7 linked regions of the Solanum lycopersicum genome follow. The main gene of each other region encodes a partner of the protein of the gene in region 7 in a complex. Links are inferred from orthologs where the notes say so. Each region holds a gene or a part of one and is shown on either strand. Other genes may lie near its edges. The genes, in order: photosynthetic NDH subunit of subcomplex B 5, chloroplastic; NAD(P)H-quinone oxidoreductase subunit N, chloroplastic; NAD(P)H-quinone oxidoreductase subunit S, chloroplastic; photosynthetic NDH subunit of lumenal location 1, chloroplastic; ORR; NAD(P)H-quinone oxidoreductase subunit O, chloroplastic; photosynthetic NDH subunit of lumenal location 2, chloroplastic.

Region 1 (4,163 bases), on a different chromosome or scaffold from region 7:
ATATATAAACGCAACCTCCATAGCAAATGAAATTATAATTATGAAGCGCAATTATTGAAACTATAGCTACACAGTCTTATTATATCTATGATCTTTGATTCAAACTTGAAATGAATTTACATGGTCATATTCGTTTAATTTGTATTAATATCATGGTAGATGGATTAGATAGATGAAAATATTATTGTCGTTCTTTTGTATTGAATTTTGGATATACATAAAAGAAAGATACAGTATACGTACAGTTGCTTAATAATTAAAGGAAAAATTATATAAAATATCAAATTATTAATTCAAATTAATGTTATAATCATACTTTGATTTAATTGTAACTCGTAGCAAACAATTGTCATTCACCTCTCTCCCCGACGAATTTCGCTTGCCACTCTCCCAGGTCTTGCTCGTCACTCTCCCTCGTCTCACTCACTTTATACAAAAGGCAAATGAATAAATTGTGTTTGTATTTGTATAAAGCGGGAGAAAATTATATGTACACATACATATAATTTCGTCATATACACTTATAATTATACAAATACAGATTTCCTCTACAAGTTCTCTTTTGTCATTCTCTCTTTCTCGCTTTATATAAACACAAATTACAATGTATACTTTGTGTTATATAACTCGAGAGAGAGAGCGATTTGATATACAAATGTTTTATTTCGATACATTGTATACAAATTCAAATTTTATGCAGATATACAAACACATAAAATTGAATTTAGAGGTTGTCAACGATTTATACAAACGAGAGGCTGCCAATGATTTAATGTACCATAGCAAGTATAAAATTTGGTATGGGCCGCAATTATACAAACTATAGTTATAGTATACAAATATGATTTTTTATGTTTGCTAAACCTAAACTTACTTATAATTAAATAGTTTCCTATTGAAATAATTATTTCTGTATGAATGTCGTCGATATTTTCCTCCTTTTTTCTCCCTTATTTTTGTCATAAGTTGGAAAAAAATTTAAAATTTTGAAATATTGGTGAAAATATTTTTTTAAAATAGTTTTAAAATAATTTTTATAATGGTAAGCAAAAAAAAAATCTGGTTTATGGCTAAGAGAGGCTAATTTATTTTGTTTAAAGCATTTTGAATAATCTCATTTAAATAGACATTTACGTTCTCCAATTCTGGATATGTACAATTACAAGCAGACATATAAATATGTATATAATTAAACAAGTAGACACATCCTATGTGACATCGTACGTGACAATTTGCATCCTATATAATGTCCTACGTGCATTATATCACGTAGTACGTCTGTTTATGTTTGTTCAATGTTATATAAATTTAAGTGTTGATTTATCTACAATCAAAGTTGAAAGACATAGATGTCAGATGAAATCAAGTTAAAAGGGGTCGGAAATTGTGGTAACACAATAAGAGACTAAATAGATATTAAAAAAAAAATATAAAACCATAATATATAATAGCCTTATCCACGTATAGCCTTAACCATTCAAAATATATGGATAATAAAGTTAGAAAACATAGAGTAAACAAGCAAGAACAGAGCAACACTACTCAACAACAATGGAGAATTCTTTAACACTTTCACTACTCTCCACAATTCCAGTTCCCAATTCAGTATTCTCAACAAAATGGAGTGTTCTTTTTCGAGGAAATCCATGTTCGATTTCCTCGAAAATTGGTACAAAATGTGGTGGATTTAGATCATCAACAAGATTGTATGCAGGACTAACAGAGATAGAACCAGATATCAACGAAGATCCTGTTGATCGATGGAGAACTAATGGCATTGACATTGTAATGTTTCTTTTCTTTTCTTCGTTGTTTTTAAATAATTGTAGTGTTTGAGTAAGTTTAATATCTTTCATCAACATAGATATCGAATAATTTTGATATAATACAAAATGTCCTTTTAACTTGGCTTTTTTTAACTGACAAATGTATCTATTTTTTCAATTTTATATAAGTCTCTATTTGTGTACATCGAAAATAAGAGGATATAGATGTAACTGAAACAAAATTGAAGGGCATATTTATATATTTATGTAATAATTTTTTTTTTATTGAAATTTTGACGGATTTATTTTAAGGCAGACGCATGTTAACTAATTTTATTTTATTTTAATTTGTTGCAGGAAGATTATGTTTTTGGAAAATACGATGATCATCATACGTACTTTGAAAGTGAAGATAAAAAAGGTACATAACAATATGTGTGTGTTTTTTTCGATTTAATTTGTAATTTGAATTGAAAAATATCTAAATTTGTCCAATGTATTATTATATGAATTCGATCAAGTTAGTCTTCGTTCGACTTTTCGTTTAATAAATCGTTTCATATTTGTCCAACGTGAAATTGGTGAACTCCACGTGTTCAAATTCTTCGAAAAACACAATATTTGAGTAGCTATTTTTACAAAAATAGGTAAATGTATTTATACTTAAACTATACTTAATTCTATATCACTTGCATTTTCAGTATCATTTTGGGGATCCATAGCAGAAGATTATGCTGCTATTGCACCCCCAACAGGATTTCAAGGTATGTAACAAATTACCATAATAATATGATCATTAACTTAGTCATTTACTTTTCGCACTTTGACTAATTTCACGAAATACTTTCCATCAGCAACAAGTATCAGCTAACTCTATCCATCTACCAACACCGATTGTGGTTCACTGGTGGGAGTGTTTCACTCTTAACCACAGGTCTCGGGTTTGAGTATTGGATATGATCTATTGAGAAAATCATGTTGGGAGCGTCACCCTCAAATATAGGACCTGCAATGTGCGATTCGAATTTAGTCGTAATTCCAATGTAAGCTCCGGACATCGGGTGGAAAAAAAAAACTCTATTCATCCACAGTGGATAAGACAAATGAAAGGATCACCTAGAATTTTTCTTCTCTCGCTGAGAATTGAACGTGATGAGACCTCGTGACTCTTAACCAGTTCATTGACCACTAGGGCACACCCTTGAGTGCTTCTTTAGTTATTTACTTAAAATAACTTATTTTTCTGGTGTTCGACAATAGGTATCATTTCATGGCTGTTTCCTCCAGCAATAGTTGCAGGAATGTACTTCAATGTTCCTGTAAGTTAATGACTAAATCTCTACTATATTACACATTTTTCGAGGCTCGAAAACACCCGTTTCCAGCAACTAAAAGTCTTGTATTTTCACTTCTTTGACAATGCAGGGGGAGTATTTGTACATTGGAGCAGCTGTGTTTACAATTGTGTTCTGTATCATTGAGATGGACAAACCAAGTGAAGCACACAATTTCGAGCCTCAAATATATAACATGGAGAGAGGTGCGCGAGATAAGTTAATATCGGATTATAACACAATGGACATTTGGGAATTCAACGAAAAATATGGTGATTTATGGGATTTTACTGTTAAGAAGGACGATATCATGAAACGATAGAAATAAAAAAGAACAACGAATTCATATGTTCTGAATATATCATTAAGGTATCTAAATGAATCGCGTAATGATCATTGGATTTCATCGATTACTCGAAGATGCATATGATCTGGTGTTGTTCCATGGTTGTACTATATGTTTCTTAACTACATTGAGATGAAAAAAAAACTCTAATGAACTCCCTAGCTGAAGAATTACACTGTATATATAAGGTCAAAGTTATATATTTCTTATTAGTATATGTCAAATCCCTTTATCAATTCTTTATATTTTGAATTTCCTTAATAAAAATTCTGATTGCGCTACTGCGATGAGAGTTGTATAAATCAAAGTACATAGGATGTTTAAAGTTACATTAAGAAGGAACTTAAGAGTTGAAAAGTTTGATTGAATGATGAGTGATAACTAACATGATTTGGCTTTTTTTTCTAATATTTTTTATGAATGTTCTGATATTGCTTGTTGTATGTGTAAATATACCTACTGAATTAGCTCTATGTACTACTTCCGTTCCAATTTAAGCGACACTTTTTGAATTTCGAGATTCAAACAAGTCTATCTTTGATCGTAAATTTTTATATATATCTTTTAATTATTTTGAATTGTCAATTATTACGACTTATATTACTTTTAACGTAGTTTACAAATATATAAATTTAAATTTTGAAAAATATTAAAGATTGTACGTGCAAATTTTCGATCATACTTAAACTATTTGACTCTGAAAAATGAAAAATATCA
Region 2 (4,094 bases), on a different chromosome or scaffold from region 7:
GACCACAGAAGGCTAAACTGAAGTAAATCCAGGTAGCTTTTGCATACAATGTTGTTTTAACCACAACGACAAGATCTCAAAGTTTCCTTATTTACAAGAGAGTTGATTGATAAACAAGAAAAAGGAAGATGAAAGGAAAATCTTACCAGTTACCACACTCTGCAATGACCCTCACATTAGGACGAAGTGTCGGGAGTAAAGCAAGAAACTGCAGCTCTGCCTTTGATAAGACCTGAACATTTTAGGTCAAACAGTTAACAAAGATCTAGTCAAAATACTGCTGATGGACTAATTAGATGATGTACACTTGAAGGGGTGGATTTAACCTTGGCTTCTATTATCCAAACCACTAATCCTTTAGCATCCGGAGGAAGTAAAGAAAGCCTATAATCAACTTCTGGAGGAAAATACCATCTAGCTATTGGTTGCTTACCAACATGAGCCTGCAACATCAAAATTTGCAGATGAGAGTCAATTAGACACTGCAAGTTAGTGTTTGAGAATAAGCATATCGTATGCGAACTGCTAAACTTACAGGGCAGACAGGGTGGAATTTGGTAAGAGTGGTTTCAGGGTCACCGAGGCCACGAGCCGAAAGGTCCAAGAAATGATATCCCTGGTACTTAAGACGTGTAAGGTAGCGTCCTTCATAGCCCCCTTCATGAGGAGAGTAAATTGCTATGGCTTTGTGTTCTTCCACATCTGATAACCATTGACCCAAATCAGGTTTAATGAGATCTCCACCTATGAAGTCCTGAAGTTCAATGTTACATCTAATTGCTCCTTTCTTTTGTCTTCCAACTGAATCAAGTCTTCTCGTTCTCACAGCCTTTGATATGCCATTTAATTGTACTCGTTGCTTCTGCAGACCATAAGACTGCACTGCCCCTTGATAACAGGCTGCATTTTGCCATTTTAATTCAGATTTCATGGTACATGACCGAAAGAACAAAGGCATCATAATGAAAAACATTGAACGTTAAGACATCACTCTCAAAATTTAATTAATGCGAACAGGATAACAGTATCATTTTGGTGCTGCAAGTGTGCATTTCCACATGTAAAAGGTAGAAAAAGTTATAAATAAGTCATTTTCCAAAGAGAACTGATAAGATTATGTTACAGGGAGAACTGAAAGGGTGCCTACTGTAAGCAACCTGTGAAACTCGAGAACCAGAAGTCAGTTTTTACCATTGTCAACAATGGCTAGAAACATTGCCAATGCACTGCTTAATGTGACAGTGCATAACAGTAAGCACAAACATTTTCAGCTTTATAGACCAATATTAGGGAAAGTCTGGATTTCATACCATGTAAAACAATAACAATCGGGAACAAATGTGAGTTGGAGCTGAATCTCTACTCACCCAAAAAACAAAACTTCAAAACATAATTAAGTAAATGTACACTTTCACTACCTACCCCACTAATATTTACATATAACAAGCTGGAATCACCCATTATGATATCAAGTCTTGATCTTTTTAGTTCTTTAACCATCACCCTAATTTTGTAACAACACATAATAGCAACTAAGCATACGTCTTCACACACACGCACACCGTGATATTGAACTATAAATCTGAAAATTGGGAACAAATGCGAGTAGAAGCTGAATCTCTACACACCCAAACCATAGCTTAAAAACAGAATTAAGTAAAGTGTACATATCACTCCCTACTCAACTAAATATTCACATTTAACAAGATTGAATAGTCCATTAAGTTAAGTCTTGATCTTTTCAGTTCTTTAACCATCCCCCTAATATCAAGATATTATAACAACACATAATAGCAACTAAACGTTATACATCTTCACACACACACACACACACACCATGATATTGAACCATAAAGCTGAAAATTGGGAACAAATGTGAGTTGAAGCTGAATTTGTACACAACTTCAAAACATTATTAAGTAAAATGCATACTTCCACTCCCTACATAACTTAATATTTACATTTAACAAGCTTGAATCAACCATTAAGTTATCAAGTCCGTAAAGATATTGTCATCCGGACCTAACTCAATCGCAAAACCATACACCCTCCTTCACGCTTAGGCCCCTTGAGAGCGAGAACCAAAAGCTCACACCGGGAATGAACCTGGTACTCATACCATGTAAAATTAAGTTTTAGGCCTATCTAAACTACCTCAAAGGTAGGAGGTGCTCAAGCCTTAACCACCAATATGAACCCCTTTTTTTTAAAAAAAAATAAAAATTAACACCCCACCTCACACAGATGCAATATTATTACAAAGTCTTGATCTTTTCACTTTTTTAGTGATCACCCTAATATCAAGATATTGTAACAACCCATAATATCAATTAAGCATTATAAATCTTCACACTGCGCACACACACAGAGAAAGGGGTTATTGGGGATGACCTGAAGAGGAACAGGGTTGGTCTTCAGTGGAAATATTGGGGCGCCGCCGGCAAGAAGACCCATTGCTAGTAATCAAGAACCTCCTAGTGCTGCTGCTGCTGCTGGTGGTGCTAGGGAAGGTGTAGGAGAGAGTTGTCATTTGGGTATTTTGGTGGCAGTGTGTGAGTGGTGGCAGTAGGCAGCTATAGCAACAGAGACTGTGGAAGGACCATTGCAAACTTGGACAAAGATGACTACTTTGTTCCTTGCCACTCAATAAATGTGCTGATAAACTTTACAATAAAGAAATTACAAATAACAAATATTTAAATATGCATAATAATATTAGCTATATAAATTTATGGGATAAGTTCTATATTTTAAAAATTGAAATGATGTTTTGGGGAGAATTTAAAATTTGAGATAACATAATCTCAAATTAGTTATTCAAATTTTAATTTTATATTGTATATTCAAACATAGCTAGAATAATAATCATAAGGTGAGAGTTCAAACTCTATTGTAACTTTTTTAATGAAATAATTTTGTGATTTAGAAAAGAACAAAAGCCAAACTTAAACCTAATTTATATATTTTGGATTGAAAATCCAAAATCCAAGTAAAGATTATGAAATTTCCAAACATCCTATTTAATTGCATAAGTTGTCCTTCAAATAAATTAATTTTTATTCTTTTATATTTTGAATTTTTAAAATAAAACAAAGTTAAGTATTCATTGTAAAATTCATAAGGAGTAAGAACGTTCACCACAGATAAAATATGAATTGTGATACGACCATTAACATCTAAAAAAGACAATGTTTCACAATAATTACTAGTAAAACTTTTGAAACACATAACAGAACTCCAAAAATAATTGGAGCACATATATCTCCTTCCTTTAACTAGAACACGTACTATGGTGCTTTGATTCCTGCATCATATTTTGAAAATAAATTTATACCTTATAAGACATAAGTTGTTTAAGATAACAAAATATAACCAACACTCAATATATAATGATTTTAAAATATAAATTACCAGTGAAAATATTATTTATATAGTATTAAAACATAAAAACTAAAACCAGCTCTGTTGTAAGAGGGAAAATAAAAAAGACAAACTTTAGGGCTTTTTATATAGTAATCTCCCTATCGAAACCTCAAAGATTTCCCATTTCTGCAAAACCCAAATGGAATCCAAAGAGGACGAAGCCTCCCAAAGCGGAGCAAACCCATGGAAATTCAGTCCATTTCAAGCAAAGATTTAGTTTTGTTAAGGCTTCCGGTGAAATCCCTTTTACAATTCAGGTCTGTGTCGAAATCTTGGCTTTCCTTAATCTCTATCCCTAAATTTGTGAAGACGCATCTCTTATTTTGTGCTAGTAACAAGGAGTTATGTTTAAGGTTGCTATTTATGTTGGCTAGTTATGTGTAGTGATTTACATCGCCATTCTGTAAAGGAGGTAATTGACTTGGATTATCCAGGTAAAATTTCCAAAGACTATCCTTGGCTGGTGGGTTCGGTAAACAGATTGATTTGTGTTGCCTATGTAACAAATTGCATGACTTGTTTATATGGAATCCGTCAATTAGAAAGTATAGCAAGTTGCCTAGTTATAGACTTAATCGATGTGGTGGATATCAAGTGGAGGAACCTGGGGATAGCAGATTTGGTTTTGCGTTGATGTGCTTCAAGATGATTACAACGTAGTGGGAGTTTGC
Region 3 (2,570 bases), on a different chromosome or scaffold from region 7:
TTCCATTCTTTTGTAATCTGATTCGCTATACAATTAGTCATTTCCGATATATAATTAGACATTTTATATATTTCGATATAGAATGTATAAAATGTGTTTGTGTTTGTATGAAACGAGAGAAAAGATTATATACAAATACATACATACATACATACATACATACACACACATATATATATATATATATTCGTTCTATATACTTATGATTATATAAATCTAGATCTTATTATACAAATTACAATTTATAAATGAATTTATACAAAACTGAACAATCTGAATAAAATTGGATGTATCTAGCGAATTATACAAATCAAAAACTCCATAGCAAACATAAAATTTATTATGGAACGCAATTATGCAAACTATATTTACAACATACAAATATGATTTTTATGTTTGCAATTTGTGAAAAATTACGTCTTTAAAAAAACAACTTTAGAGGCTATTTAGATGAACTTAAAAAGTAACTTTTAAATCAAAAATAAAATGTCAAACTTAAATGATTTATAAGTTAAAAAATAAAAGGCAGAGGAAGACCTACTTTTGATTTTAAACTTATTTTAAGTCATTTTAAAGTTATTTTTAACTTTGTCAAACACTTTCTGACTTATTTTAAGCCATTTTTTACTTACTCTAAGTTATTTTTTATATTTATCGAACACTTCCAAAAATAAAAATAACTGACTTTTAAATCAATTCAAACGCCCTCTTATTTAATCAACTATATCTTCTACAAGACCCCTTTCACATGTGTGGTCCTGACTTTTAGAAATTCCTTTTGATAACAAATAGCAACATAGCGCGAATCTAATACCTCTATATACTCTGATCATCAAGTTAAATCATATGATCATTTTTTAAAAAAATCTTAAATTATTAAAGAAAAACATAATATATCTCGTGTAATTTCATAAATGAATATAAAAATTATAATTTACTTTTAACGCAATTCCTCACGTGTGGTCCTGATTCTTTTTGAAAGGATGGTGTAAAACATGAGTGCAAGTTTAATCTTTTTCCAAGGAAGATAACATCATTCATGTGTTTCATTTGTCAATAGAAGATATCAAAACAAAAACAGATTGGTGGTCAGAATTTGAAAGGACAAATTACAGTTTCCCATTTCTACTTCTCATCTCATCCTCTACCATCATCTTTCCCAAATCCAAAGTTCTTGAAAAAAAATCAAAACCATGGCTTCTGCTTCTTCCTTTCAACTCTCAAGCCTTCAAATTCAAACCCCACCTCTTAAAAAATCAAACTTTCTTGGTCAATCTGTCAATCTCAACCTCAGTAGTAGTGTTCATACCAAATCAGCTATGAAATCATCTTCAAACTCAGTTACACCAATAGCAAAATTCAATCTTTATGAGATTCTTGGAGGTAGAGGTCTGTGTAATGGAGAAGAGGGTATAGAGAAAGAGCTAAAAAAGTCGATTTCCGAAGAACAAAAGGCAGTAGGATCAGCAGCAGCAGCAGCTAGTGATGATGATAATCAAGAAAACAAGGAGACTGGGGAGATACCGGAGGACGGATTTGAGAAAGAAATGATGGGGTTTACTGGCGGATTTCCGGGAGGTGAGAAGGGTCTAATGAAATTTATAGAGAAAAATCCACCACCACCACCACCCAAGAAAACAGAATCAAGTATGGTTTCTGGTTTTAATCAAAGTCTTGTGAAGAAACCAAAGCCACCTGAATTGCCACTTTTGTTACCTGGGATGATTGCTATTGTCAAGAATTCTAATAATCCATATTATATGTATTGTGGGATTGTGCAGAGGATTACTGATGGTAAGGCTGCTGTGCTTTTTGAAGGTGGGAACTGGGATAGGTTGATATCTTTCAGGCTCGAAGAACTCGAACGTAGAGAGAAAGGACCGCCAATGGTGAATCTTAAGTCTGTGATACTTGAGAAGATGGTAGAAAAGAGCTCTGAAGCTTGAATTGCTTCAGTTTTTGAGTAGATTGTTTGTTCTTTTGTCTTTTGGGTTGTTGTACATACAAGCTGTAAGTTTTGTAATGGCAATGGCATGTAATAAGAAATGCAGAAAAACTTTTGTGCAGGAAGAGTTCTGTCCCAAATGAGAAGTTCAACTCTTAGCAGTGATGTTCGAAAGAACTCTTAACAAAAACAACGTAAAAAATAAGAATCAGGTAATTCAAACCACTTGCAAAACATATAGTCAAATATTTAATATGATTGCACAAGATCTAGTTTTGTTTAAGTAATGAATCCTAGCATGTTCTTCTGATCAATTCATAGATCATTAGATACCATCAGTAATGAGGATCTGAAATATCACACGTTTTATCGAGCAAAGAGAGAGTCTAGCAGAACAACAACATACAGTATTTAACAGTGAGTGATAAAACAATTCTTACTTTTCACAAGCATGAGGTACCTCTGACACCACATATGGTGGATCTTAGACTCCATCCAATTGGACAACAGGTCGATATCGATGTAGATAAGTTCAATAATGATAGCTAGCCTGAGAGAGAGTATACAATGGTGCAAACTGCAAGATTTTGACAGATTCTCAAACAGATGGACCAAAATTTTATAA
Region 4 (3,355 bases), on a different chromosome or scaffold from region 7:
TTCAAATGTCTCGTGAAAGATCAACTACGATAAAAAAAACATTTGCTTCACAAATACTTCAAGGCTTGTCTTTACAAGTTCGACAAATCAAGCACCTCAACAAGCCTCAAAGTAGGGGCATTTGTAAACACTGAAGTTTTATTGATAAATCCATATTACATTTGGATTAAATCTTAAATCACCATATGTTGACCAAGTCAAATTACTGGTTGATAAAGTCTAATTAATATCTAAGCCAAAATTGTATGACTTAAATCAAGTCCAAATCATTTGGATCATTCCATTAAGTTGACAAGATGAGCCCAACTCATGTTCTTCAGGCCCAGGGATCAAAATTGCTCAGACCAAAATACCCTAAAGCCCTAACTCAAGCCTATATAAAGAGGTATTCTTCTGACCAAAAGGACAAAAAAAAATACATATACACAGGAATACATAATTGCTTTTCAGCATATAAAGAAGTCTTCGCTCCAAGGGTTGAGCCGCAAGTATTCCGCCAAATCAATAACATCTGTGAAGAGAAGAATCAGGGGATTAAATATCTTTTTGAGATATTTTATAAAGATTGTAACCTTAGTATTAATTCAAATACAAATATTATTGTTTGCTTGCTATTTTTCCTTTCCTGTATATTGTATTTCAGGATTGAAACTTTAGACGCATACACTGAGATTTGGATCATCCAAGGTACATTAACATGGCGTACTCCACCCCTGGTACCCTTTGATCATTCTTCAATTATATTTGGCGTTGCATTTACACAGTTGATGAATACCTCCACGCTAGGATGTAAATTGATCATTGATGCATCGCCAGTTGGATTTCCTTTCAAATAGCTTGTGCTATACAGTGATTGAAAGAACCTGTGCTTGGTTTTTCCACATCAACATGGGTGCATTTGATATCACATTTCATATGGTCGAGTTGTTAAAGTATCATTATCTTAAATTCTTCGAAGTCAATTGTTAAGGTTTTTAGCATTGATCAACCCATTAATTTTTAAGTTATAAGTTTACATTTACTATCTATTGCAATTTTGATGAATTTTTACACATAAATTTATATTTCGCATTAAAAGTACTGAGTTCAGATAAACTCGGTATCAATACATTAGATCCGCCTCATCCATCAAGGATTCAAGTTTGTGCTGTTGTTACATACAGATATTTATGACATGGTAAACTTGTGAAAAATTTGCAAGAACAATTAGTAAAAATTATCAATGTGGATATAGTCAAATTTTAGCCCCACATATGAAGCACAGCTCATTTAGTTGTAGTTGAAAGAGACATAAAAGCCCATTTGGACCTTGGCAGGAAAGGTCATCCTCACATTTAATTTGCATCTTATCCTATTGAGCAAGAAAAAATGATGGAAAAAAAAGTGATTGTATTAGGAGAAAAAATAAACATGTTAAGCAAAAATCTAGTGATTTTTGTCCACAAAAATGGCAGCTACTTCACTCTCATTGAATCTTGGGCTTCCATCACCAGCAGCCAACAATTTGAATAGGCATGGCTTACACAACATTATTACATGTTCGGCATCAGAAAACACGTCCCCTAATCAACAGAGTAAGAAAATTTCATATCGATCAATTATGAAGTCATGTTTGCATTTACGCCATTTTCTCCGTGGTAAAATTCTACTAGTATCTCTGTTTCAGGATGCTTGATGAGAAGGTCATATCTATTAGGAGCAGGGGCTCTTTCGTTGGGTTTATTATTACCCGCGACTCCCCTTCTAGCTCAAGGTACTCTGTTACTATAATTTTTATTCTCTAAACTTTTTACTTTTTATAATTAAATGACGTGTATGCAGGAGTACCGGAGAACTATGAAATCTTTGTTGACAAACGAGATGGTTATTCGTATTACTATCCATCAGATTGGAGGGTATGTTGCTTCTTTTTTTTTTAAGAAATGAATTTTTAGAAATTAGTAAACTCTCATTTTGACTTTGGATGTATGTACAGGAATTCGATTTCAGAGGTCATGATTCTGCATTTAAAGATAGGTATCTACAACTGCAAAATGTAAGACTTAGTTTTATACCAACTGATAAAACAGATATCCATGATTTGGGGCCAATGCAAGAGGTAAATCGCGGTACTATTCATCTATGTAGCCGTTTTTTATTAAGCTATCAAGGAGGAGAAAAATATAAAAAAGACATGTATTTTCTTCGTCATACCAACTTATTTCTACTTTCCTAAAGGTTGTGCCCGATCTGGTAAAACATGTTTACTCTGCACCGAATCAGGTGGCAAATATAATGGAAATGAAGGAGGTATGATCCTTTCTTATTCTCTTGATTGTACAATATACGTAGCTCTTTTTCAATTAGTCACCATATTTTTGTTCAAAATTATGTAGAGAACTACGGATGGGAAAAACTATTTCACCTTTGAATATGTATTGACATCTCCAAATTTTTCGCGGGCAGCATTTGCTACTATAGCAATTGCAAATGGTAAGTGATCTGGTTTGTTTCCTTTAACTGTACATTACATTTTTCTGCATTCGTATTAAGACATTTCGTACAGGGAGATACTACACATTAATCGTGGGAGCGAATGAAAGGCGATGGAGAAAATTCCGCAACAAACTTAAAGTGGTGGCTGATTCATTTCAGGTGTTGGACATTTAGAATTGTTCTAAGAGCTGCAATGATAGAGTCTTGTTCCATGAAACAGGATTTGCAATTTGTTTATTGAATTACAGTACAAAGAATGTTTCTGGCTATCCCATAAGTAACTGAAATCCCCTTGTAGTTGAAGCGGTGAAGTGTTAACGACAAATTTTAAAGTGATGGAAAATAAAGCACAAATAAAGTACGGCATGATACATATCTAATCTTGGTTTCAAATTTTAACTTTGACCTCCAACGTTCATAGTAAACAAACAAACACTTCAATTATCTAACCCTTTAATAAATAAACACGCGAGTCGTACCTGGCAAACATGTAATGTGCATGTATTTTGTGCGAGTTAGGAGTAGTAATTTTTGAGGTCCACAATGGTAAAAAAATGCTGAAATAACAACTCCACCATTAATGAATCCCTTTTATATATTTTTTTATATTTCCAAATCAAAATTCATTTAAATTTTTTTTAAATTCTAAAATGGACGCATAAAATATTTAATTAGTTGGCAGTCATTGAGTGGCTCACTAATATACGTGGGAGCATTTGCATTTCACTCTCTTTGTCTCCAAAAATCGTGTGTTTATTTATTTAATGGTATGATAGTTTAAGTGTCTATTTGTGCACTATTAAAGTTGGAGGTCAAAGTCAAAATTTGAAGTCAAGTTTAGGGTCCAATATATGTATTATGCCTATAAAATATGATGAAA
Region 5 (2,819 bases), on a different chromosome or scaffold from region 7:
GCCAAGTATTTTTACCTATTATGTCACCTCTTTCTCTGAATGCAACTATTTCAGTATTATTTTAATATGTTCTTTACAATAGATGTAGATCATCACAAACACACAACACTCTAATCTTGAAACTTGTGAAATGGGTCATATTTCTAAACATGCAGTGTCAGAAGAAACACACCTATGTCTGCCCCGTTTTTGAAGCAACTGGCAACTGTCCCAAAGGTTCAAACTGCAAGCTTCACCATCCGAAGAACAGAAGGAAGGGAGCGAAAAGGAAAGCTTTGAGCGAGTTAAAGAATGGTCGAGGTCGTTACTTTGGCTCTCCGCACATTCATATTTCTGAGTGCATAACAGCTGGATCAGAGAAGCCTTCTGTCAAGGGGAATAATGACATATTCCTTGAAGGGAAGTTTGTCGATTTTATTAGCCTAGATGGTAGTGACGAAGAGGAACAGACTATTGATCAGAGAAGCGAGGAAAAGCCACTTTGCGAGAGTGGTCCAGCAGAGATGCAACTGGATGATCTCGATGAGCTTATTAAGCCCGTGCGTCTGATAAATAGGAATAGGTCTGTAGGTTCATCTCCCTATATAGATAGCCCAAGTGATATGACCACAAGCTATGTATCAGAGTAGCCTCACCATTGTAAATGAGGTTGTGTAATTAGGTTTATGTAGTGTTCTGCTAGTGCAGAGCAATTTTTTTTCTTTTTATTGTTAGGCTTTTAGTTAATTACTTAGGTATAGGTCTTAGGATTAGGCATATTTTTTGTTTCGCAAAATCTGTTGTGTGAGATAGAACAAGAAAACTGTTGTTATAGTGAGAGAATTAAAGGAAATGAAAATCTTATCCCCTATGTACAAGTCTTTATTGGAAGCTGTTTGACTTTTGTTCTTTAACAATTTTCAAGTCAATCTGAACTCTCTTATTGAGTCTTTATCACAGGTGATAATGAACCTGTAGATTCAATCAGCTGGTGTTATGTTTATTTTACTTTTGACAGGTAAGCATTCTTTTTTTGTAGTGATGAATACACGGATAAAAAAGATTGTTTTTAATAGATCCACCACCATACGAACTTCTGAACTTAAATTTTTTGGTTTTGTCTATATAAGTGAAACGCCCTGCATACTTATCTTTCATGGCTCGGATTCACTAATTAACCAAACCTTTAAACCTGGTTTAACAGGGATAAAAACGAAAGTAATTTAAGTACCTCAAAGTGAGTAATTTGTAATTAACCTTTTATTAAGCACAGCCACAGAACAAAAAAAATATAAGATAATAAAAAGAAGCCATATGTAAGCAAACATTTCCTATCCACACAAAAAGGAGGATATATTAATATCCCAATACCAACATTCAAGAAAAGGCCATAAAAATCACACATAACAAAACACTAGGAGAAAGGGGGAAACATGGCAGCAACTTCAACATACATGGCTTCAACCCATTTCAGCATGTTAAGTTGGAGCACAAAGGGAAAGAATAAACAACTCAAAAGGAGAAACTTCTTCTCAGTTTCAGCACAGCAAGCAGAAGTTGAAGAGTTAAAACTAAAAAAAGAGGAAGAAAAGAAAGAAGAAGAAAAACAAGAAGAGGGGGCAATGAAGAAGCCAAGGCCAGTAGAACCACAAATAAATGTGCAGAGCAAGAACATGACCAGAGAACATGGAGGACAATGGCTCAGTAGTGCTACTAGACATGTTCGAATATATGCAGCTTATATTGATCCCGAAACCTTTGCTTTCGATCAAACACAAATGGATAAACTCACACTCCTTCTTGACCCTACTGATGAATTTGTGTGGACTGATGATACTTGTACCAAAGTCTATTCTTACTTCCAAGAACTTGTTGATCATTATGAGGTAATGAAAACTTCTCTTCATCAATACAAGCTTAATCATGCAATCACTCTTGTACCAAATGGATTAGAAATAGAAATGCTAACTCCAATAACTTTTTATGATCTGGACCAGGGAGCTCCATTGACGGAGTACACGCTTCGCCTGATAGGTTCAGACATAGAGCACTACATAAGAAAACTTCTCTATAATGGAGAAATCCAATACAACATGAATGCAAGAGTTCTTAACTTCAGTATGGGGAAACCAAGAGTTGGGTTCAATTACAATGGACAAATGGAAGATGTAAACCAGTAAATTCAGGTAACAATGTTGACTATATTGAAACAATGAGTAGCAAAAAATGCAGTTGTAACAATGTATAAGAAACTTTCACCTTCTCTGTCTGTTTTGAGAACTTTTCCCAAATGGATTATACACAATACAAATGTTATCTACCTAATCATTGGTGGCAAAAGGGTATTTTATACTGTGGTTTTCATATTCCTAATCATCTAAGCATTGTATCAATACCCCCAATCAAAATTGCAATAGCTTCAAATTTGTTTGAGATTTCCTATATCTACACCACTCCATATATTTAAGCTTACCTCATCTATATTCAACCTACTTTATTATAAAATTATTCGTTTTTTTCCACAAAAATTTTAAAATAATATGTAAAACTTACTAGACTTTAAAACTAACACACTATATTATCTTACATACAAGATTATGTAAGAACAACTATTGATAATGTAAAAAAAAATGAAAATTATTACATCTTATAATTTAATCTTAATAACATAAGTATAAATTAATGATTGTAAAAATATATACTAGAATCTGTAACATAAACAATGGTGGCAGTGAGTCACTAACCGGAGCAATGTACACAAATATTTAATTGTGAAAAAGAAGAAGAAGAGAGACAGAATTTTCGTTCTTTTAAAAGGAGAGAAAATCCCTCTATTTATA
Region 6 (3,468 bases), on a different chromosome or scaffold from region 7:
CCCCTTGCTTCGTTGACAGAGCTTATGAATGCTACTAAGCGTGCTAGGAGAAGGCTGTAAGTTCTGATTTTTCCTGGCATCATTTCTTCATTAATTTCTTCATTTCATTCTCCACCCTCATCGCTTTCAGATATTGATACCAAGTACAGCATTGTTTACAGAAAAAAATACAGATAACTTATACTCCATACCACCTGTTCTTCACCTTCCCTTTTTACAGGCTGCTGTACACTGAGACTTTCCAGTTACCTGCCTACTGTATATTGTGTGTACACTATAATTTTATGAAAAAATTAATGGTACATTGAGACGTACATTTCGATATTCATTTATAAACCGACTCCATTCTATTCAATATGGAAGGTATTTTGTGTTTAACTGATATCATATTTCAGTTCTATCCTTCCCAGACCCCACTTGTGGGATTACATTGGGTATGTTGCTGTTTATTTATATTTCAGTTGATCTAGAACGTCTCTTGATTGTTACTGGAAGCTGTCTTTTACCTACTGAATAGTCCAGGATTGTTATATTAAGCTTCTTAAGAATCAATTTAACGATTATTTAGTGTCAACTGAGAAGCTGATTGAGTGATCTTTAAGGAATAATAATATATTTAGCAATAAGTAAATTCTGGAGGTGTGTCCATCTCATCTCTCTTCATCTCTGATGAGCAGCGGTCAATCTGATGCTCCACTTTGATTTACTCGTCTGGCATGTACTGGTCTGTAACTGTGGACTCGCCACTATATTCTCTCGTAATCCAGCTTATCAGACTGCAAAATTTGTTATTGGTTAGGGAATGTGTGATTACGCAACAGACCACTTGCTTTTTAGCAAGGTGGAAACTGTATCATCAAATAAAGATACGATACTTGGGAGGATTGCTTAAGTTCATATAAGCAAACCACCAGTCCATTCCGGATACTTGGGAGGATTGCTTAAGTTCATATAAGCAACCCACCGGTCCATTCCCCAAACCTCCGTGCAGTTAATTGCTATGAGTTTGTCCAAAATAATTTTCACCAGAGATTCTCATTTGAAGTGCAAGGAGGTTTTTTTAATAGTGTACCATAAAAGGTACTCATGAAATGATGCAAATTGCTGCTTTAGTATTTTGAATGATTTCAAAAGGCTAATTACCTTAATTAGCATCTCTGTTGGAAGCCAAGCTGGTGCAGTTGGTATTCCGATCCATCCAATCTGCAGCATAGGTAAACTCTCAACTTTGATCTCTTTATATATTCAGTGAAATTTATGTTTCGAGGTGTGTTTTGATATAATAAATTGAATTTCGAAAAAAATATACTTACAAGTGCATATTCTCCTGTCTCGAATATACGAATATCCAATACCTAAACAGATATATGATTAGTTTATTTTATAAATAACATGTTGTTCCAAATTGTATTTTGTTATCCCTTTTGACATGATCTATAGAGAAATAAGAAAATGGTACCTCACCACGGTCTTCATATATGTAGTCCAGACCTTTGTAATAAGGTGGATGATCAACAGACAAATACTGAAGAAATTTATACAAAAATATACAGTCAAATTCCAGTGCAAGGGTGTCCACAACTTCCAATTCAGATTATTATCATCATTCATAAGCATGTAGAGGATACAATGCTGATTGGTAAAAAATTATAGTATATATATCTTTATTAAAGAAGTCCCACTAAATAGGTCTGAGAAGGTAGAGTGTACATAAACCTTATCATTACCTCGTGAAGTAGCAAAAAAAAACAAAACTCACATTGATGCTATTCAGATACTTCTCCTTTTCCACCCTGACTATCTGACCTTTCTTCACTGCCAACCAAAACAAAAAAGCTAAACTTCTATAAACAAAAAATTAGTGAAATTTGAGACATTTTCATGAAATAGTACTACTCACTAGAATAAACCGGTTTTTTAGGCTTTGTTGCGGTGGCTGTTGTACTAGAAGAAGTTGTTGTTGCTGCTGCTGCTTGAGATTTTGGCTTCTCATTATTTTCTTGTGGTTCAGATGAACTATTTTCTGCTTTAATAACAAAAGGGCTATAATTAATCCTATTTTTTCTTGTTTGTGAAAAAGATGATGAATATATGAAGGAGGTGTGTGAAAATGCAGCAGAGAAAGCCATCTCTATAGTTTTTTTTTTTTTTTTTTGGAGATATAACTAGTTTAGTTGTGGCCAATATAAGTAGATAAGGGCATGCCCTTTTTCCCCCTTCTTCAACGGCCAGATTTGAATAACAAAAATTAGTCTGCTAATAAATGGGATTACTCTATTCTCGGTTAAGGATTTCGAGTTTGAATACTGAATTTCGATGTCATTTTTGTTGAAAATTACTGTGGACGTCCGTTAGAACTTTTATCTATGGAGCCAATTGGTTGTCACGGTCAAAACGACCATTTTAAAGGTCAAACCATCTTTTTAGTGATCCAGAATTTTAACGTTATTTGCCGAAAATTAACATAGTTAAAACCTTATCTATGGGGCATATTGGCCACTACAGCTAAAAAGGACCCATTTTCAAGGTTAAACGAGTTTAGAGTAGGTAAACCCCCAATTTTGTCGAGTGTTCTGTGCTATAGTCTATGAAATTTTTGGTGAATAAGAACTCTGACGTCATATTTTCTGAATTAACATGGATGATTGTTAAGATCTTATCAATGGAGTCAGTTAGTCACCACGATCAAAACACCCCATTTTGAAGGTCAAACGATCCAGAGCAGGTAAACCCTCATTTTTTTCAATTTTTGTTTACAAGTAGGTAAAAAACAGATTTTATCGATTTTCGTATGACATAACCCATAAATTATTTTTACCCAAAAATTCAAAACAAAATGGTCGAATTTTTTCATGGACGTCCTTTAAAAACTTAGAAATAAAACTAGCTCGTCTCGTGGAGAAAAATGATGCATTTTTAAGTTCAAACGTGCCCAAAGCAGGCAAAGACATATTTTACCAATTTTTATGTGTTATATCACATGATTTTCTTTTTGATTCGGGAATATAAAAAAATGGCCAAATTCTTTTGACATCCGTTAAAACCATATAAATTGAACCAGTTCGTCCCGCAGGGAAAAATCGTGCATTTTCAAGTTCAACTGAACCCCAGAGCAAGAAATTTGATAAAATTTGTCTTTGTCTGCTTTGGAATTTGTTTAAACTTGAAAATGTGTCTTTTTTCCCCGCAGGACGAAGTGGTTCCATTTTAAGGTCTTAATGGTCGTCTATTAAATATGCGGTCATTTTGTTTTAGGATTTATGGATAAAAAATATTATGGGCTATAACACACTAAAATCGATAAAAACTACCTTTGCCTTCTTAGGGGCTCGTTTGAATTATAAAATACATCATTTTTCCCCGCGGGATGAACTCGTTTCATTCCTTAGCTCTTTACGGACGCCATGAAAAATTTTGGCCATATTGTTTGGAAATTTTTGGATTTAAAAAAATTCATGGGCTATGCAC
Region 7 (3,832 bases):
TGAAAAAAGTACTTTGATTCAGTTTGTGTTTAACTAAATTATTGAAAAGTATTTTTATTAGTAATTTATATTTCACTAATATTTTCAAGATGTATTTTTACGCATGTCATAATTCAACGAGTAGCATTATTACTAATTTATAAGTACTTATTTTTTCGCTTAAAGTTTGATCAAGTATTTTTTGTATTTAAAATATTTAATCAAACAAACTATTAACGACCCTTATACTAATAGGGATTACAAAAGAATTCTAATTATTTCTTTTTTTCAGTTAAGTTATAATTCGTTTATATAATTTTATCATCCCAATCCATTCATTTCTCATCTATTATTTTTTGTAAATTAAAGGTGTTGCTTTAATTTGTAAAGCAATTATTATTAGTCCAACTATGTGGGAGCTAGAGACATTAGATATTTTAGCTGTAAAGCAATTATTCATGCACAATCAATAATGTATTATTTTTGCCTAAATTGCTTTATATCTCTTTATTTATGAAGATAATTTATTGATGATTTGATTTGTTATATCAAAAACTAAATAACATGTATTTCATAATTTTAAAGAAGATATAATTTGTTCACAAAAATACTCTCCAGTCATTATAACAAAAATAATCATTAATTGTCGTTAAATATGTATTTTTAGCGGCAATTGACACTCTTTGTATATGTCCATAAAATATTTAGCAACATTGGTTCTAATGATACTTAACTAATGCCGGTAAAGACTTTCGCACTCTTTATCAATGTCAATATTTAATGCCGCCAAAAATTATTTTTGTTGTAGTGTAGAAAAATAACATCATAGACTTCAAGGGTGTTTCTGTCAGTTTCATTATTTTATTTTGGGATAACTAATCCTGATACCATTACTCTGCTCTATGACGGTGATAACTTATTTCAGGAGTGTATAGTTGAAAAATTCAGCATAATTTAAATGGTTTTTAGTGTCTAATCTCAATGTTGAACTCAAATTTGTTTTGATACGAGAATTGAATGCCTCAAGGGAAAAACATAAGAAATTTGTTCGATTGATAGAAGATTGATCCCAACCCGTCAATGAAATAGGGCTACTAGTGTTCAGTCTTGATTGATTCCGAAAAAATGCGAACCAAGTAAAACTAGTTTCAAATTGAACAAGGCCAACCCTAAGTTAAACAAATTCCAAAATTGGGCCAACTAGAACAAAGCCTCTTACACCATTGACCCAACAACACCAAAATTTATTGGGAAAAAAAGAGGATAAAATATTTGCCAAGTCACCAAAACCTAAGGTCCATTTTGGATTTAGGGAAATCAATTAATATCCATCCAAAACACACACAAAAACCATCAAACACTCCTTAGATTTTTTTTTTCAACACAAAAATGACCACTTTCACAAATCCTACAACTTTGTTCCATCCAAAAACCAAAATAACCAAAACTCATCACACACAATGCAAGACACTACCCAAAATCCAATCTAACTTATCAACTAATGAACAAAACTTCTCATGTAGACGCAAACTCATCGCGACTTTTCTAGTCACTCCATTGACACTAGGCCTACAATTCACCCCTTTAGCATTAGCTGAAAATTGGGGCGTTCGATCATTCTTAAGAGAACATTTCTTTGAGCCTGGATTGTCCCCTGAAGATGCAGTAGCACGAATTCGTCAAACAGCAGATGGACTACATAGTATTAAAGAGATGTTGGAGACTAACTCATGGAGGTATGTATTGTTTTATATACGACTTAAATCAGCTTATCTTAAACAGGACGTGAAGAATGCCTTATCCAGGGTGCCTGAAAGTCGAAAAGAGTCTTATATTAAAACTGTCAATGAGCTTACTGATAACATGGCTGAGGTAACTAACTGTCCTTATTTTCCCTGTTCAGAATTTTTCGAGGTTCTATTCAGTGTTATGGATATTTCTATGTATTTTCTTCGTCTGCAGTTTGATTACTACATTCGAACACCAAAGGTATATGAATCTCGTGTATTCTATGAGAAGACGTTGAAATCAATTGATGAATTGGTGGGATTACTTGCATAATAATATCATCAGGCTCAAAGGTGAGTGAATGTTGTAGCAGAAAAATCGCGTTGGTTTAACAAATAAACTGATCGAAAAACGTTGAAATTATATACAATTTTATGTTCATTTATAAGCTTGGTCTGCGAGTTGATGAAATTGGAATCAAGATTACATACGAGTTTATGAGAGAATAACTATTAGTTGAATAAACGTGATATTTGAAGATGAAAACATTGAAGTAAGGAGGAAATCTTTTCATTATGTGATACAACTGATGAAAATCTTGATACAATGAAATGCAACTGATGAAACTAACATTTACAAACACAATACACACACAAAGGCTAGCAATTGCTAGTGTAGCCAACATCTTCAGCGCCTTGATAAAGCGATAGATGACAAAATTATAAGTATAACCATCAAGGCCATTGCACCAAAAGAACCGATAAGGGATCCAGCAGAACGTTGACAGAAATCTGTATACTGTTGGCATATCGAAAACCAGTTAGTTGAAGTGTTGCCATTGTGTGCCAAATACACAATCGCGGCTGCTGCTGATGCTCCAGATGTGAGGAAAACCAGCATTATCTTCAAAAGTTTTCGCAAAGTATAAAAGATATCAGTACAACATCATAACAAAGTACTAAATATGAAAACTTTAGCAGAAATCTAATGTATTACCGCGTCTAGAACAATGAGCAAAACTCTGCTCTTTCCTGCTCTACTTCTGATAATGTGAAAGATTGAAATAGTGATAGAAAGTGCAAGATATACACAAACTATAGAATTCGAAACCACGAAGAACCTTCAATCAGAATAAGCAAAACAAAAAAATGTGTTAGTTAACCTTTATACTGTTCTATTTCATGTAATAATATGTTTGCAGTTTTGCTTACTTGAACGAGTCGATATCATCATACTGAGCTTCAAAATTTACAATCTGTGTACTGAATGGAAGTGCTTGATCTGCAGTACCCATTGCCACAGCACTTGCTAAGGTTCCAACAAGTGCAACGATACGTAAAACAAGATCAAATACAGAGATTCCTCTGTTCACTCCATGAACTCTTTTGGCCTTTGATCCCTCTCCAGTTTCAATTGATACTGCCTTCATTTTTTCCTTTTAGCTCAAACTTTGAAACTAGAATGAAATTTTGTTGTTATGATTTGTATGTCAAGTGTGATGCGAATTTATACTAACAAGTGAACCAAATCATGTAACAGAGTTACAAATAGTATTAGGTTTTGATGACACATAATTAGTTGTTGCTTTTGCTTATTTAATCAATGAAATGTACAACTTTCTGGTTCATGATATTCCATAAAGTAGTTAAGTCTTGCATTAACTTGCTACACTTTTTACCTGCTCTACTTTCTTCCTAACATGTATTTTGAAAATGTATTTTTTCTCGAGAAAATGTATCATTATATACGAGAAATCGCGATATTAAAACAGCACACGACACGTTGCAATCCATTTGAGAAGGGTAGTATGTATGCATACGTCACTTTTAACTTTATGGAATTGAGAGGTTGTTCCCGATAAAAACTTCAACATTCTTTGTCCTATCTTTTTTTTCTTTTTTAATGTTTTGCAAACACACTTTATGATCATTGATTTATTATATTAGGTCAATTGATAATATACTAATAACAATGGTTATGGTCCTAAATGGTTTTTTGGATTAGGCACAAAGTTCTACTTGAACATAAGAATCAAACATGAGAAATTAGAATACTAGAAAGTAAAATAATGAATAGGTTGACTTTTTGATTAACAATGAGAAATAAAATAAAGAACAAGTTTATG

What was found.
Region 1: photosynthetic NDH subunit of lumenal location 2, chloroplastic (region 7) and photosynthetic NDH subunit of subcomplex B 5, chloroplastic share a complex: the UniProt entries of both Arabidopsis thaliana proteins name them as parts of the chloroplast NDH complex. The link is inferred for Solanum lycopersicum from reciprocal best matches to the Arabidopsis thaliana genes PnsL2 and PnsB5.
Region 2: photosynthetic NDH subunit of lumenal location 2, chloroplastic (region 7) and NAD(P)H-quinone oxidoreductase subunit N, chloroplastic share a complex: the UniProt entries of both Arabidopsis thaliana proteins name them as parts of the chloroplast NDH complex. The link is inferred for Solanum lycopersicum from reciprocal best matches to the Arabidopsis thaliana genes PnsL2 and NdhN.
Region 3: photosynthetic NDH subunit of lumenal location 2, chloroplastic (region 7) and NAD(P)H-quinone oxidoreductase subunit S, chloroplastic share a complex: the UniProt entries of both Arabidopsis thaliana proteins name them as parts of the chloroplast NDH complex. The link is inferred for Solanum lycopersicum from reciprocal best matches to the Arabidopsis thaliana genes PnsL2 and NdhS.
Region 4: photosynthetic NDH subunit of lumenal location 2, chloroplastic (region 7) and photosynthetic NDH subunit of lumenal location 1, chloroplastic share a complex: the UniProt entries of both Arabidopsis thaliana proteins name them as parts of the chloroplast NDH complex. The link is inferred for Solanum lycopersicum from reciprocal best matches to the Arabidopsis thaliana genes PnsL2 and PnsL1.
Region 5: photosynthetic NDH subunit of lumenal location 2, chloroplastic (region 7) and ORR share a complex: the UniProt entries of both Arabidopsis thaliana proteins name them as parts of the chloroplast NDH complex. The link is inferred for Solanum lycopersicum from reciprocal best matches to the Arabidopsis thaliana genes PnsL2 and NdhM.
Region 6: photosynthetic NDH subunit of lumenal location 2, chloroplastic (region 7) and NAD(P)H-quinone oxidoreductase subunit O, chloroplastic share a complex: the UniProt entries of both Arabidopsis thaliana proteins name them as parts of the chloroplast NDH complex. The link is inferred for Solanum lycopersicum from reciprocal best matches to the Arabidopsis thaliana genes PnsL2 and NdhO.

The regions. Positions count from the first base shown.
Region 1 is NC_090808.1:66,330,462-66,334,624, forward strand, and holds photosynthetic NDH subunit of subcomplex B 5, chloroplastic, read left to right. Parts: upstream 1-1,458; 5' UTR 1,459-1,551; coding exon 1,552-1,785; intron 1,786-2,123; coding exon 2,124-2,187; intron 2,188-2,467; coding exon 2,468-2,530; intron 2,531-3,026; coding exon 3,027-3,085; intron 3,086-3,191; coding exon 3,192-3,422; 3' UTR 3,423-3,663; downstream 3,664-4,163. UniProt on the Arabidopsis thaliana protein: NDH shuttles electrons from NAD(P)H:plastoquinone, via FMN and iron-sulfur (Fe-S) centers, to quinones in the photosynthetic chain and possibly in a chloroplast respiratory chain.
Region 2 is NC_090808.1:66,282,384-66,286,477, reverse strand, and holds the start of NAD(P)H-quinone oxidoreductase subunit N, chloroplastic, read right to left. Parts: upstream 2,801-4,094; 5' UTR 2,531-2,800; coding exon 2,392-2,530; intron 901-2,391; coding exon 536-900; intron 444-535; coding exon 327-443; intron 233-326; coding exon 147-232; intron 1-146. UniProt on the Arabidopsis thaliana protein: NDH shuttles electrons from NAD(P)H:plastoquinone, via FMN and iron-sulfur (Fe-S) centers, to quinones in the photosynthetic chain and possibly in a chloroplast respiratory chain.
Region 3 is NC_090807.1:67,427,465-67,430,034, reverse strand, and holds NAD(P)H-quinone oxidoreductase subunit S, chloroplastic, read left to right. Parts: upstream 1-1,193; coding exon 1,194-1,946; 3' UTR 1,947-2,070; downstream 2,071-2,570. UniProt on the Arabidopsis thaliana protein: NDH shuttles electrons from NAD(P)H:plastoquinone, via FMN and iron-sulfur (Fe-S) centers, to quinones in the photosynthetic chain and possibly in a chloroplast respiratory chain.
Region 4 is NC_090809.1:53,936,876-53,940,230, forward strand, and holds photosynthetic NDH subunit of lumenal location 1, chloroplastic, read left to right. Parts: upstream 1-1,300; 5' UTR 1,301-1,447; coding exon 1,448-1,574; intron 1,575-1,652; exon of another isoform or gene 1,653-1,666; coding exon 1,667-1,753; intron 1,754-1,821; coding exon 1,822-1,895; intron 1,896-1,975; coding exon 1,976-2,098; intron 2,099-2,217; coding exon 2,218-2,289; intron 2,290-2,375; coding exon 2,376-2,472; intron 2,473-2,545; coding exon 2,546-2,649; 3' UTR 2,650-2,855; downstream 2,856-3,355. UniProt on the Arabidopsis thaliana protein: NDH shuttles electrons from NAD(P)H:plastoquinone, via FMN and iron-sulfur (Fe-S) centers, to quinones in the photosynthetic chain and possibly in a chloroplast respiratory chain.
Region 5 is NC_090803.1:56,432,396-56,435,214, reverse strand, and holds ORR (NAD(P)H-quinone oxidoreductase subunit M, chloroplastic), read left to right. Parts: upstream 1-1,302; 5' UTR 1,303-1,412; coding exon 1,413-1,865; intron 1,866-1,976; coding exon 1,977-2,159; 3' UTR 2,160-2,319; downstream 2,320-2,819. Other genes in the region: uncharacterized protein At1g21580, read left to right, coding at 156-629. UniProt on the Arabidopsis thaliana protein: NDH shuttles electrons from NAD(P)H:plastoquinone, via FMN and iron-sulfur (Fe-S) centers, to quinones in the photosynthetic chain and possibly in a chloroplast respiratory chain.
Region 6 is NC_090810.1:1,415,295-1,418,762, forward strand, and holds NAD(P)H-quinone oxidoreductase subunit O, chloroplastic, read right to left. Parts: upstream 2,227-3,468; 5' UTR 2,130-2,226; coding exon 1,901-2,129; intron 1,837-1,900; coding exon 1,760-1,836; coding exon of another isoform or gene 1,728-1,759; intron 1,526-1,727; coding exon 1,460-1,525; intron 1,356-1,459; coding exon 1,314-1,355; intron 1,204-1,313; coding exon 1,144-1,203; intron 777-1,143; coding exon 747-776; 3' UTR 501-746; downstream 1-500. Other genes in the region: uncharacterized protein, read left to right, coding at 1-60. UniProt on the Arabidopsis thaliana protein: NDH shuttles electrons from NAD(P)H:plastoquinone, via FMN and iron-sulfur (Fe-S) centers, to quinones in the photosynthetic chain and possibly in a chloroplast respiratory chain.
Region 7 is NC_090804.1:2,507,848-2,511,679, forward strand, and holds photosynthetic NDH subunit of lumenal location 2, chloroplastic, read left to right. Parts: upstream 1-1,327; 5' UTR 1,328-1,368; coding exon 1,369-1,851; intron 1,852-1,941; coding exon 1,942-2,040; 3' UTR 2,041-2,060; exon of another isoform or gene 2,061-2,155; intron 2,156-2,255; exon of another isoform or gene 2,256-2,394; coding exon of another isoform or gene 2,395-2,610; intron 2,611-2,703; coding exon of another isoform or gene 2,704-2,827; intron 2,828-2,918; coding exon of another isoform or gene 2,919-3,136; 3' UTR 3,137-3,332; downstream 3,333-3,832. Other genes in the region: casparian strip membrane protein 2, read right to left, coding at 2,395-2,610, 2,704-2,827, 2,919-3,136. UniProt on the Arabidopsis thaliana protein: NDH shuttles electrons from NAD(P)H:plastoquinone, via FMN and iron-sulfur (Fe-S) centers, to quinones in the photosynthetic chain and possibly in a chloroplast respiratory chain.